2 linked regions of the Caenorhabditis elegans genome follow. The protein of the gene in region 1 interacts with the protein of each later gene in a pairwise test. Each region holds a gene or a part of one and is shown on either strand. Other genes may lie near its edges.

What was found. Proteins that work in one complex are often made in the same cells at the same time.
Region 2: the proteins of W04A8.1 (region 1) and cgt-2 interact in a two-hybrid assay, tested with the Caenorhabditis elegans proteins (one large-scale study listed by BioGRID).

What each region holds. Positions count from the first base shown.
Region 1 is NC_003279.8:13,834,799-13,841,990, reverse strand, and holds W04A8.1 (protein-serine/threonine phosphatase), read left to right. Parts: upstream 1-1,903; 5' UTR 1,904-1,998; coding exon 1,999-2,106; intron 2,107-2,189; coding exon 2,190-2,465; intron 2,466-2,735; coding exon 2,736-2,947; intron 2,948-2,995; coding exon 2,996-3,156; intron 3,157-3,206; coding exon 3,207-3,251; intron 3,252-4,412; coding exon 4,413-5,103; intron 5,104-5,152; coding exon 5,153-5,321; intron 5,322-6,026; coding exon 6,027-6,206; intron 6,207-6,402; coding exon 6,403-6,567; 3' UTR 6,568-6,664; downstream 6,665-7,192. Other genes in the region: W04A8.2 (Ovule protein), read right to left, coding at 1,084-1,163, 1,213-1,285.
Region 2 is NC_003284.9:17,693,435-17,701,232, reverse strand, and holds the start of cgt-2 (Ceramide glucosyltransferase 2), read right to left. Parts: upstream 6,002-7,798; 5' UTR 5,914-6,001; intron 4,761-5,913; 5' UTR 4,759-4,760; coding exon 4,511-4,758; intron 3,995-4,510; exon of another isoform or gene 3,887-3,994; intron 3,255-3,886; coding exon 3,019-3,254; intron 2,974-3,018; coding exon 2,753-2,973; intron 2,528-2,752; coding exon 2,204-2,527; intron 1,537-2,203; coding exon 1,405-1,536; intron 1-1,404.

The DNA of each region.
Region 1 (7,192 bases):
CTCATCAAAATTCAAATCTCATCTCTCTTATATTTATCAATTATATCGACAGATCATTTTTTAATTAAGTTTATTCGAATAAATATCATCATCAATAACAATTTTTACAAAATTATACAATAATATCAATAACAGTTTGAAAATTTAAACAATACTATCAATAATAGAGTTACGCATAAAGTCTAGGGCAAATATTTGATCGAATTCGGCGTAGACGACACAATAGAGGCCACCCACAGGGGTCTCGGTCTTAAAGTTTAGACGAACGCAAACGTTTGTCTGCCGAACTAGTTCAAAGAGAGAATTATCTTGAGCCACAGGGCTCAACTCGAATCCAAAAATCGTATATCCTTTAGATCTAAGCATTCCAATGTCGATCGAATTGCAGCTAAAGTTGTTTCTAGTGTGACCAAGTGTTTCCTGAAGTTGTACGTAGGCCTCCACGAATTTGTTATTTTCAAAGTCTAGATTCATTGGTCGTCCTGGAACTGTTTGACCGCAAAAATCAATGTGAACGTCCTGCACACCATATGGTTTGAAATTGAACGGAGTTGTTCCGAATGATCCGTTGTAAGCTTCGCTTGAAACTAGACCAAGAAAGAGTGGCGGAAAACAAAGCAAGATAAATGGCCGCTGAAACTTGTCGGCCCCTCGGCCATGGCCTAGAAACCACTTTTCCTCGTCCCTCGTGAGGAAAAAGTTGCAGTGGAATTGGTCAATCCACTCGCTACGATTGTCCGAGGAAGAATCAAGTTTGCTGGTGGACATTCAGATGAACGTTATCCGCTTCGTCAAATGGCCAAAGTATATTCGTCTTTAGCGTCGCAGTAGAGTCAACGCCATCACTAGCCTCGTCGAGACTCTCCGAGCTCAATTGGTTCTCATCGCTCATGACGTCAACCCACTTGAGATCGTGCTCCACCTTCCAGTCCAATGTTGAAAGTACAACGTTCCATACGCCATCATCAAGGAAAAGGCTTTCCTCTGAGCAGTTGAAAGACCACAGCTGATGTTGCTCTGGTCGATGTCAACCCGTAAGTTTCGATTTGTTTCCGTTTGGATTGTCCTTCAATCCAGTCGTTTTCAGAGAAGACAAATCTGTTTGGATATCTTCCATTTTGGTCCGGTCTCTCGTTTCGTGGTACTCTCCGAATGCTGATTGTCTGAAAATTTAAAGTTTATGGAAAAAATTCTTTTTAGCAATTTATTTACCTATGAAGATTTTGCAGATGATAGTGCCACGTTTTCCGGGGTGACACCACACCCTCGTTTGATTGGAGAGCATTTCTGGAAATAAATGATGAAGTTTTTTGAAAAGATTGAAAAGACCAAACATAATAAAAAAAATCAACGGTTAAAACAGAAAATTTTTGTTTAACTTCCATCATTTTTAATGCAGAAAAACAAAGTAAAACTCTTAAAAATTATTTTAAATTGAATTTCACTCAAAAGTACCGTCACAACACAGTATTTCGTGTATTTTACAAATAAAAAGTGTACTTTTCAAGTAAAATCAGTAAAAAATTACGTGAAAAGAGAAAATTTCGTCAAAACGCAGTGGTAGACAAAAAAAGAGTATAAATATTGTCGTTTGTAGTCCAAGTCTCAACCAGTGTATTATTAATGAACGTTTTCTTAAATTTTAGACACAAAATCACAAGTTCAAGTAATTTTGTAGATTTCTTATAGTTAGAATCAAAAATTTAAAGTTTTCTAAGATCCGGTGATTTTCAACGAAAATTCAGAAAATTTACTAAATTTTCAGATTTATTGGGTGAAAATTTAACTTTTAAAACTAAAAAAAACCTGAAAAAAGCGCTGTAAAACGCAAAACCGAGCTCCTACAGTCTACAAACTACAAAAGTGAATGCGCGTCAGGTGTGGCGCTTTGTACGCAAACACCAAATCTGACGACAATCTGAAAAAACAAATTTTTCCACCGCGAATTTCGAATTAGAAACCGATTTTCCTCGATTTTTCTCATTTTTTTCCCGAAAAATGTCGATTGCGTATGGTTTCGACCCGAATATTTCGCCAATTTATGATGATGACGATGACGAGCACCGCCATTCCACCCATTTCAGCTCGGCGGACACTCCGAAAAAGGTTTTTTCGATTTTTTTTCTTTCATTTTTCAAATAAAAATTTTCTAAATAAGAAAATAAAGTGAATTTTCAATTTTTTCGCAGACCGGACGCCCGAGTAATCGAACAATGGGCACTTCAATTCAAATCAGTGGGGATTTCAGTGATCTCAGCAGTTTTCGCCCGGAAAACTCGGTGATCTCTGAAATTGTTCTGGATTCCGGCGATGAAGAGGAGGTTCCAGATTCTCGAGAAGATGTTTTAGCATGTGATGATGATGAAGAAGTACCTGAATCTGTTGGATATCTGGCTGGAACTGTCATTGTGCTCTCCGCCGGGTGCTGCCTGCCTATTCGACATCATTTGTCGAAAAAATTAATTGTTAGTGGGGGGAAATTCAAATTTTTCATCAAATTTTGTTGAAAATTGTGTAAATCTCGCGGAAAACTGCTGAAAAATGCCTAAAAATGATTTAAAATCAGCTTACCGTACGGCAAAATTAAAGGTACATAGCAAAATTCAAGTGGTGGGTCTCGACGCGAAAGTTTATTTTTAACAGAAATATTCGAATTTTTAGGTTTTTCGACAATTTTCTTCAATTTTTACTCACTTTTTCCTTAAGAAACCGAGAGAGAGAGGAGATTTTTTCAGGAAATGGGTGCAGAAATTCAAAAAACAATCGATAACCGGACCACCCATATTGTCGTAGACCGTTATGCCGACGAAAAGCTTGTCGGAGAGGCAATGTCCAGAAAACCGGAGCCTCCGATGATGGTAGACGTGAAATGGATTCAGGAATGTCTGGATAATCGACAAAAATGCAAAGAAAACGATTTTTCCATGATTGGGCTGAGATATTTAAAGTATCGATTTTTTTCAAAAAAATTTGGTATAAATTGCCAAATTTTCAGACAATCGTGCCGCCGGCTCTCAAGCTTCCGGGAACCTACTCCATTAGGCGATGAGGAGGAAACTTTTTGGGAGGATATGGAAAATGATGCTCCAACTGACCCTGCAAAGCTTTTGGAGCAAATTCGGAAGCTCTCGGAGAGGCTTGATGCTTTAATGGATTGTAAACCCCGTAAAATGAGGATTTTCAGTCAATGTATTTAATGTTTTCAGACGTTCCCGTCATCAGATTCGAATATCATTCTCCGGATTGCCCTAGTACGATTTTTTTTTGTAAAAAAATCCGAACAAATCGCTAAAAAGACGATAAATAGTGCAACAAGCTCTTTTTTTGCTCAAAAATCCTCGCAAAATCGTAGAAAAATCTCAAAAAATAAGTGAAAATCCATGTTTTTTCAAAAAAACAATTTTGTTGAGGCTAGAATTATTGTAGTTTGTAGTCTGAGCCTCAACCACAACGTTTTCAGCCAATTTTTGGGTTTTTTTTGCAAAAATAAATCAAATGTTCTATTGAAAGCACTGAAATTGTGAAATTTTATTTTTTAAATTCAATTTTTGAGTAAAAAATGATTTGGTTGAGGCTCAGACTACAAACTACACTTTTTCTAGCCTCACCGAACTTTTGAGTGAGGCTAGAAATACTGTAGTTTGTAGTCTAAACCTCAATCAGAACGTTTTCGACCAAATTTTGAAGTTTTTTTGCAAGAATGAATAAAATGTTCTATTGAAACCACTGAAATTGTGAAATTTTATTGAAATTATTCTTTAAAATTCAATTTTTGACTACAAAGCTCAGACTACAAACTACACTTTCTCTAGCCAAACCAACTTTTGGGTGAGGCTAGATGAAAAAACGTTAAAACCCGGAAAATTTAGAATTTTTATTCAAAAACTCTAAAATTTTGACGGAAAATTTTGAAAAGAACAGATTTTCAAAAAATTTTTAGTCGAAAAATGAATTTTCCCTGCGAAAAATTAAATTTCGAAAATAAAAAAAAATTTCAAATTTTGAATTTTCTATCAGAAATTCTGCTTTAAAAATTGTAAATTTCATGAATTTTTTTTAAAATTCGAAATTTTATGCGAAAATTATATAAATTTGGAAAAATAATGATTAAAATTCGATTTTCAATTCGAAAAATGAAGTTTTCCGCATTTGGTTGAGGCTCACACTACAAACTACACTTTTTCTGGCCTCAACCAATTTTGGGTGAGGCTAGAAATAGTGTAGTTTGTAGTCTGAGCCTCACCCAATATTTTTTAGATGTATTTTCCAAATTTTCGGAGGCAAAATCGATATTTATTCAAAACCTGACTCCAATTTCTATTGAGAATGTTGAAAATCTTGAAGAATTTACGTATAAAATTTCGAATTTTTGAGTGAATTAAAAAAAAATGTTTTTTAAAAAAATTTTCCAGCTCGCCAGCAACCTCAACCACCAGCTCCTCCTGCAAAAAAAGCTTCTCAAAGGCCTAAAAACTCTAGAATCCCGTCTCCAGAAGCCCTACAACAGCTTTTCACATCGATTTCCACGTCTTCAACGCTCCGAAGGCGCCGTTCCTTTACAGGATTTGTTCTAGAGCACCGGGAGCCGGGAAATGCAGCGCTAGAGGTTCAAGAAGCGAATAATGATGTCAGAAACACGTGGAATCCGGAACTTGGCGCCAAAAAACCGAGAAAAACGCGAAAAGCGCCTCAAAAAACGGTGAACGACATGCGAAAAACAATGGCGGCGGATTTGACGACAATTCGTGACGTTTTGGCGAAAAATTCCGATTTAAATAGAGCGAGAACGCCGAAAAAATCGAAGAAACCAGCTAAAAATTCAAATTCCCGCCAGAAAATGATGCCCGTCCACGTGGATGACTCGGATATTCAATCAGCGTTAGCATCGTTGACAATAAGTGAAGCCCCCAGAGAATGTTCGGTGCAAATTCTGGTCCCGACACGCTCAAACGTGATTAATCAGCTTCAAAAGCGACACGAAGAGGATGATGATGACTTTATTTCTGATGTTTCAGCGTTTTTACAGCGAAAAACTATGAAAAAATCGAGAAATTTAGGTGAAAATTCGAAAAATGAAGTGATTTTCACCGGGTTTAGTAAAGAGTTGGGGATTTTTGCTCCGAAAAAAATCCGAATTTTTGAAAATTTCCAGCTCTCCAATCGAAAAGAAGCTGAAAACCATCGTTCGCCGGTTCAAAATGACGATTAGCACGGAAATTGATGAAGAACGGACGCTTTGTGTCGTTTCGAGACACGGAAAACGGACGCTTTTGGTGCTTCGGGCGATTTGTTGTGATGTACCCATAGTTCGACCGCAATGGGTATGAAATTTGACAGAGTTTAGGCGGAAATTTGAGAAAATTCGAAAAATCCCGAAAAAAATCTACAAAATTTCAAGCCTCAACCAAAAATTGATTTCAATTTTGGTTGAGGCTCACACTACAAACTACATGTTTTCTAGCCTCAACCAACTTTTGGGTGAGGCTAGATATATTGTAGTTTGTAGTGTGGGCCTCAACCAACCTTTAATTTGATTTTTTGTTGAGGCTAAAAATTTCGTAGTTTGTAGTGTGAGCCTCAACCAACTTTTAGGTGAGGCTAGAATTATTGTAGTTTGTAGTGTAAACCTCAACCACAACGTTTTCGACCATTTTTTGGAGGTTTTCGCAAAAATGAGTCAAATGTTCTATTTAAACCGCTGAAATTATGAAGAACTTTTGGGTGAGGCTAGAAATTATGTAGTTTGTAGTCTTAGTCTCAACCAACATTAATTTAAAATTTCTCGAATTTAGCGGAATTTTCAATTAAAACTTGAGATTTTTAAAAATGTTCATAATTTTAGCAATTTTCAACAATATGATCTGAAAAATACTTGAATTTTTTGAATATTGTATGTATTCTGAAATTGGTTTAAAAAACTCCTTGAAAACTCCAAACTACAATATTTCTAGCCTCAACCATTGGGTGAGGCTAGAAACATTATAGTTTGTAGTCTGAGCCTCAACCAATTTCCCAAAAATTTTCAGCTAGAAGAATCATTTGAAGACTCCCAACTCCTTCCCTCTTCCGACTACATTTATCAGGAATGGCTTCGAATCGAAAATTTGAAAATTTTCGCCAATTTCCATTTGAGAATGTGGATCGCGCCCGAATGTACTCCAGACTCTGCGGATTTGGCTTGGATGATCGAAAAATGCGGTGGAAAAGTACGGGAAATGGAGAAAAAAGTGTTTTTTTCCTGAAAAAACTCATTTTCCTCTCTGAAATCCTTGAAAATCCAACTTTTTCAAATTTTTTCATGAAAAATTTTCCTATTTTCTCACTGAAATGCATTAAATGTCCGATTTTTGAAGCTATTTTCTCCTGAAAAAGCTCTAAAGTTCAACTTTTTCCATTTTCCAGGTAACCCGCCACCTGCATCGTGCTGATCTCGTCATTGCACCTGAAAATTGGGAAATTCCAGCCGAAAACGATGTGGAATTCGAGCTTGCCACGCCGCTTTTCGTGATTGATTCGATTTCGATGGCTGAATTGCAGAATTTCCGAGAATATTCTGTGATAATTTGATTAATTTTGTATTTTTTATCGCATATGATGCTTTTTTTTTAATGATTTTTCAATTTGTACCATTTAAAAAAATTTTTCAACATTTTCCATCCGAAATTCCTGGTTTTTGGCTTATTTCCACTAAAATATCTCTGAAATTGTTTATTTTAACCCTAATAATCCTTATAAACAATGCAATAAGCCCCGGTGGCCTTGGAAAATGGCGGCCGCGGCCATCATTTTCCCCGGAGCCAGCCCGATGCACATTTTGCTCTTTTTAGTGCATTTTAGTTGGCTTTTCATCGATTTTCTTTTTTGTTTTGCTATAAAATTTAATAATTGAGCGAATTTCTTCTGGAAAAACTTGAGATTTTTACTCAAAATTATAAATTTTATGAGATTTTTGTCAGTTTCCACACTAATTTTCGTTAAAAAATGTCGAAAATGCTGTATTTTAATGTAAATTCCATGAAAAATGAGCCAAAATCCGCTGGTTGAGGCTCAGACTACAAACTACATCATTTTCCATCTCTTTGGTGAGGCTAGAAAATTTGTAGTTTGTAGTGAGAGCCTCAACCAACCGCTTTTAAAAGTTAAAATTTTCTGATTTTTGTTTCAAATTGGCCGTTAAAATTCTTCAAATTGT
Region 2 (7,798 bases), on another chromosome or scaffold:
TTTTATTGAGAAAACACTGAAACTACAAAAAATAATATATTTTAATCACAAAGGAACACATGTAAAGCGGGAATGGTCAAACGGCGGGCCGGATGCGGCTATCTGGCGCCCAACTAAACTTCAAAAACCGAGCCTCCGGTGGGGGCTATTTTCAGCCGACGACAGCCCGATGCGGTCCAATGGCGGTTGTTCGGCAGTGTTACGTGTTATTAGGTCGGCAAATAAGTTTTGAAGTATATCGTCAATTTATGTTTTTTTTCCAAAATTTTATTTTGAAGACTTATAGTAGGCAGTCAGTATATACAGTCAGTAGTATATATATATAGTCTATGAGTTTCAACTATTTCGGCCAGCTTTTTTGCTAATTTGTTCTGAAAAAATCGAAAAACTCTGGAGATTTTTTTTATTGATTTTTAACAATAGCTGTTATCGATGTGACGTTAATATCTAACGCAATCACGTTTTGTATGTTTAGAGCAAAAAAAAACGAATCTTAACCCAATTGAGCTATTCCAAAAAAAGTGGACCACAAAAAATGAGACATTTTCAGTTTTTGTTTATTCTAGAAAATTTTTATGAGAATTTATGTAAACTTACTACTTTCATTTAGTTTTTCAAAATCAAGTTATTTACTGTAGATTTCAAGTGTTTCCACCTTTTTCTCAAAGTCTGATATTTGGATTACCTCGAAAGTTTTTTTCAGAAAATTGTTTAACCCAAAAACATTGAAAGTTTTTAAACAGAACAGTTCTATTTAAAAAATCATTATATTTTTTATTGATTGATTTTCTTGAAATTGAAATTCACTTTGAACTGTTGTATGGCTTTCTTTGAAAAACTATAACCGTTTTTTTATTGGCTGAAAAAAAACCAAACAATTAAAAAATAAAGTAACTACAAAACGAAAATACACAAATAGAATAGTTTCAATGTTCTTGTTTTGTCAAATGGTTTGAGAAAAAAGTCAACCAAATACCAAATTTCAAGACAAAAAATTGGCTTTCAAATACTGTTTTTCGGCCGGCTCACGACCTATTTGTTTGGAACACAGTTTTTGTCATTGTTAGTTCTTAAAATACTCTCAGGCTAAGAACAGAGTAAAACAATAACAAAAACAAGCTCAACACAAAAGTAACTCATATGCCGTTTAGCGAAACAGCTGTCCGCGGTTTTTGAGCCGCCATTGGACTGTTCCCGCATTACCTGTGTATGTCACTTCTACCCTCAAATTGAACATTTGCAACCGCCCACGCATCTTATGGCTGTAGTTCAAAAATACACTTTTCCACACATATTGAAAAGTGTAACGGAAAAATCTCTATCTTGTCAACAAATGTATACTTTTACCGGTGAATCACATTCAACTGCAGTTGTGAATAATTTTTTCAATAAACATTTTCATACCTGCATTTTGCACATGACCATACAATCCATAGTAATCCAAAACACTACGTGAAGCATGATTGTTGTAAGCATATCAATATTAGCAATGTAGTTGAGACTGAAGGAAATTATGAGTGCAGAAGGGAAGCAATCCTGAAATTTGTTGAACTGTTATATTTTCACTTGAACACTTCTTTTCTCAAATTTGCGGCTGCAAGAACAATTAGGGTTAATATGTTCCGGGCCAAAATTCATAATTTTTTTCACCAGGTAGATTGTTCTCAAATTGTAGGAATCTATAGTATCATTTATGTGCTTTCATTTGACAGAAGCTTAAAAAAGGTGAAAATTTTAAAAGTTGTTTGTTGGTTGTTAAAAAATGTTCATATATGAATATATGATTTTGCATGCAGAAATAATGCAAAACAGTCATAGTAAGGATAGGAGTCATAGATAGGAGTCATAGTAATAGTAAGGAACTTTTTTTTGACATTCCGAAATTTGAATTTATTATAAATAAAAACAATTTAATATTTTTTTAACGATCAATAAAATGTTGTTTTTAAACTAGTCTGGTTTTTTTTAAGTTTTCAATAAATCCACATACTTCATTTTAAATTAAACAAAACCAATTTATTCAACTCAGCGGAAAAGAAGCGCGATCGGACAGATGCCTCAAAAAATGGCTCCGAGTTAAGGCCTTGATGGTATGAAAATTTTTTTAATCTATTGTCACATAAAATAGCGTAATGATAACAAAGATTCCTGGAGCTTATTCTCCACCTCCCCCAATATAATACTTTTTACTATGAAGACTCACTTGCAGCGGCTCCACAAAAATAATTTGAGGCATCATTGCCATTCTAAGCTTCACCCATCGACAGACTCTATCCGTGAATGACGTCATGGTTACCGCAGCAGAATTTTGTAGCGCTGGATGTGTAGAAATTCCTGATTTGTATCCTCGAGACGCCAGTTTCTTCCCGAAGAAGTAATCCTCGGCAAGATATCCACTGAACGCAGCAAAGCCGCCACATTCATCCAATGCTTCCTTTTTCATCATCGATGACATTCCGGTTGGGCAGTTGAATTGGAGGCAGTTTCCGGCTAGATAAATTCTGGCATGAGAGGTTCCGAAATATATCTAAAACTATTTAGTCTATATGTATCAATGTTAAAGAAGAAGTAGTCGATGTGGGGAGATTACTAACAAGTGTAGCCCATACTGAAATACTCAAGGCGATATTAAAACAGGCAAGTACGTTAACAACGATAAAAATTAGCGTAAGACGCTTCAAAATTTGGATTGGCGCGCAATTTTTTGACTTGCTAGAGTTTTTGTTTGTTTTGACCATTCAATACAACTCACTTGCTCAAAAACCGAAGCAAACCCTTTTCTGTCCTTGCAATACGGAGTTTGCGTCACTAACGCCATTGTCTCATGGCTCATCATTGTACTTGCCATATCCAAAACTGCGTCAGATTTCATAAATATTCCACTATCACTAATCATTATAAGTTGGTACTTGGCTATTCTATAAGCTGGCATCATGTTGTTGATTTTTGGGTTCAGGCCAATTTTTTCGCCACCTGGAATTATTTGTTGAAAATTTCGTTCTTTCGGATAGAACTAACCAAAAAACATAGTTGAATCAACTGAGGGATATTTCTTGACTAAGCTCTCCACTACCTTCACTGCTGGATCATCTGATCTGTCAAAGCAAAATAGAAGTTCAAATTTGTGATACTGCGTTGTAAAAAATGTTTCTAAATTTGTGTATAAATTAGCGTCGGCTCCTATAATTGGCTTGATAATTGAGACTCCGGGTAGTGAAGGGTTGGGTTTGGTTGGACGGTGGAGTCGATACTTTCTGGAACAGGTTCTTTTAGAAAAAAACAGCTAGTGTAAACAGTATTCGAAAATCCGAGCAAGAACTTGTGAAAAGAAAATGTTAGATGTTTAAAATAGTATTTATTTAAGATAACAATTCTATAACCCTGGAAAATTTGTTTAAAAAATTTAACAAAATTTAACTGTATATTTTATTGGGGATTGCATCGGTTTTTTGAAGCCGATATTTCGTGTTTCCATAGTTAAAAAAAAAACTTTTGACTCACAAAATCTTGTGAATATCGTTTCATATTTGTTGTCGTCCGACTTGCTTATAATTCGAAAAAAGCCAAAAGTGTATTTTGTTGTGATTTGGGCCTAACGCTTTCCCTGCGTCCCAACTTTGCAGATATATGACCGGTCAGGCTCACCCACTCGCCACCACTCATTATCCGCGAATACATTCACTCTCCGTTGTCCTTTTCCGTTTATTATCTATTAATAATACATCCCATTTGAATTACCGCCATTTGCGTATTTCCCGATGCAAGCGCGCTCCTCCGATAACTCCCGTTATTCCGAAGCGTCATAGCTCCGTAAATCCACACAATAATTCTAACCTACTTTTAGGCCAATCGTTCATTCTGTTCTACTTTCTCCAGACGAGTCAGCGGCTACCCATCCGCAGACACTGTGATTCAGGACCTTTCTGCACCATTTCCATTCTGTTAATCACTTTAATTCCTATTTATATCCACTGAATAAACTGGAATTCATCTGAAACTGTGTACTGTTATTCTCTCCGCACCGCTTATCACCAATGCCGCTCGAACCTTGCTCCGTGTCTCTCCGCGCGTATCTGTAATACGCTGTTTGTCACTCGGTAGGGTGACTGACTCCCCTCTACTGGTCCCGAGTGTCAACATATTTTTTGTGATGGTTTTTTTTTAAATAGTTTTTTGTAGCAACAATGAATTAGAAAATTACGATATGTAATTTCCCTCAACTTTTTAAAAATCTTATAATTTTTTCAATTTGAAACAATTTATTTTCTGAAAGTTAAAAAAAAAACTTATAAAAATGAAAAATGAGCTCATGTGAGGTTCAGTAGGAAACTATTTCCAAATCTTTTCATAGACTTTACAAAAAGCCTAATTATAAAAATTGCTGCAGAAAGTATATTTTCATAATTAGGCAGCTGCGAGATTCTATTTTGGTTACAGAATTCTATGAAAATTTTTTATTAACTTTTTAATGTCTGGCTCGATTTTCATTTTGAAGACTCAAAAAACTCACCCATAGCATAAACCAACAATGTGCAAAAAGTACAATGCACTCACAAAAACCACACCGAAAACCGCAAAACATGTGCAATAATCGATGTCCTCTAATATTTTCTTTGTTCCAGTTAATAAAAGAGGTATATATTGCGAGAAAAGTGGGTAATATAACGACGAGGCGTTCTGTTCTTGAAGAGATTCAGGTTGAACTTCTGAAATTTCCGGAATAATCTCAACCTCCAAACCGGTTATTTTATCGCCCATTACTGCAATATTGTGGATTTTTTAAAATGTCAAATACGAATTGAAAAAAAAACACAAAGAACTAAAAGAAATAAAACAATGTTTCAAAATTGAGATGTTTTTAAATTTAAAAAAGATCTCCAAAATTGGACAAAAATTTCTCATAAAATGGTTTAACATTTTTTGATGTTCAGATCCAAAAAATTAATGTGCCATAAGTGCATAGAAAAAGGTTTTCTATCGACTTCCAAATTTATACCTTTTTGACTGATCATATAAAATGTTCAAAAAAACATTTGCAAAAATATCTGGTGATTTGGGACTATTTGAAAAACTCAACAATTATTTTTAAAAACAATATATGAAAAATGCTGTATTCTCATTTTCATAGCAAAAATTGAACCTGGTCAGAAAAGTACACAAAAAAGTGAAAAGTGAGTTTGCCTAAAAATTGAAAGTTCTCAGTTTTTAGCGAGAAAATGTCTGACAATTTAACAAATTAACTTCCTGAAAATGAAAAAAAAAACGTGTTCACTTAAAAAAAGTGATAATTCTGCTTGTCATATGTAACTAATTCTTCAAATTTTAAATATTTTCTAAAAATCCTGTTGCAAAAAGTTAATATTTAGAAGAAACGAAAAAATGATTGGTATTCAAACCCAGAACATTAAAACTACACTGAAAAAATATGAAAATCAGTTTGTGCTAATTGTGTTATGCCAATCAGAACAAGCGCTGATAACCTCTTTTTCAAAGTTTTTTGTTGAGTCTAAAATGATAAAGCTGACAACATTGAAAAAAAAACTCAATTCAAACAACCAAATGAAATTGAATGTTTTGGCAGTTTTTAAACATATATTTGGTGTTTAAAACTTATGGAGAAATAAAATAAATGTGGGGTGGCGCCCATAGCAGAATTGTATAAAATAATTCCTACTGTACTAACATGGTCAATAAGCATGGAGGAATAATTTAAAAAATAAAAAAAAGTAATTCAGTTTCAATAAAAATGTTTTCGCCTATTTATTATTATTTTACAGGTTGATAAAAAATGCTAGCAATTTTAAACTTTATATAGTTTTGATCTTTGTATTTTTATTTTTATTGTAAAAGCTCAATTTTGCCATAACGCACAAATATTTTTGAAAATCCTACTTTTTTAAATGGCAAACTAACCGTTGTTTAGTGTGAAATCCGACTGAGGATACTTTGTCACCAATTACTAAACTGTAAACAACTAGAGATGCACAAATGTCGTTATAATCTGAAATTTGAATAGTTACTGAAACATTTAAATGAAACTTAATCATATAGAGCTTCCATAACTTAATAGTTAACTTGATGGCTTTAAAATCACTTCACCAAAAATTTGATTATCATTATTTAAATTTATTTACGAAATTTAACATAACTTTTTTCTCTTCTTAATCTCAAGTTGCAAACAAAAAAATCGTCAATCTAGGCCTAAGACAAAACATAGTTAGAAATATATTGAAAACTAAGTACCAAGACAAAAGACACAACTGTTAACTATAAATTCTCGGAGACGCACTTGCCATTTAGGCACTGATAAAACGCGTGAGCGCAATGTACTATAAACTAATATTGCATCTGTAACGCGTTTTACCCTTCTTTTCTACTTTGATAACAAAAACACGCAAGTGAAAACTGAAAAAATTCATCAAATAATTATGCTGACAATCATCAAATTTTGAATACGAGTAAATGACTGCATGGCATCGCGGAGTGATACAAAGGTGCTGATAAAACGTTGGAGCTTCGATTTAAATTGAAATTATAGCCGCTCTTTTTGCATGTTTCCAATTCTAAGTTGAAGCAAAGTCTGTGTGAAATTTTACAATTATAGAAATTAAATCGTAATAACCGAAACCATCTGTAAAATGTTTTTAAACTTTTTCCTACATTTTTTATTTTTAGGCTGTCATGAAAATCCTGTCCTAATTTTTTGTTTAATCATTGTGGGCTAGAGATCAATTTCGGTGCTTACTCCTAGTGATTGATAAACAGTGCAGTCTTTGCAGTAATGAACCTCCCATCCCTCTCTCTTTCTCTCGGTTCAAGTTATTTGCTAACATGGTAGTTTACATATATATTAAACTGCTGAAAAACATAACTACTATTGCCCCATATATGTTTTTATTTCAAATCACATATTGCAGACAATAGACATGGAGATGTCCACCGATTTTCCAATCTGTTGTAAGGAAACGTTACCCAAATGGCTGATAGCATGACTGAAATTCCGTCATTCATTTTTTGAATAATTCATGCATAAATTTTTTTTTCTGGTTTTTATGTCGCTTTTCTAAGTATCTTTTTTTGTATTTTGAGTTCATGAGATTTTCTAATCTAAAATTTTTATTATTGTCGTATGACATGATTCTTGTACAAAAATGTTGCCTACCCTTTACGTAAGCAAATGTTGCATTTGAAAACACCACTCTGAACCAAGTTGATTTATCACTGAGTGATTCATGTTTCCAATTGTTGTGAAACACTGAAACTTACTCCAATTTTTTTCACATAAATGTTAAAAGATGCGCATGTTAGCTTTTGTAAAATCATTTATTTTTATTCTAACAAGTATATTTCATATTAGAGGCGGAGAACCGAAGTCTAGGAACTATCTTCAAATGACTCCAAATTTGTGCATGACTTCGAATATCTATGTGAAAAAAATTTCCCTCATTTTATTTTTGATCTTGAAATTGCAAATTCCATTTGCGTCCCAATGACTTTTTTCAAAGTCGCACCCAAATAATTTCTCATTGGAGCGCACAAAAAAAGTCGAGAACGCAATTGCAATTTACGATTTCAAGCTCAAATATACAATCAGGGAAATTTTTTCCAATAATGGTGAATTTTGAAGGCATTATTTTCCTTGAGTAAGCCTTTTTTCTATGTTAACATTGTGTTAATTTTATATCGCTAATCCAGTGTTTCCTTCTCCAACTTTTAGCTGTTCCATCTTTTTTCATCATCCACCTGCTCATTAATTTTGCTACAATGCAGTTGCTCAATATTCAAAGTCGATATATCT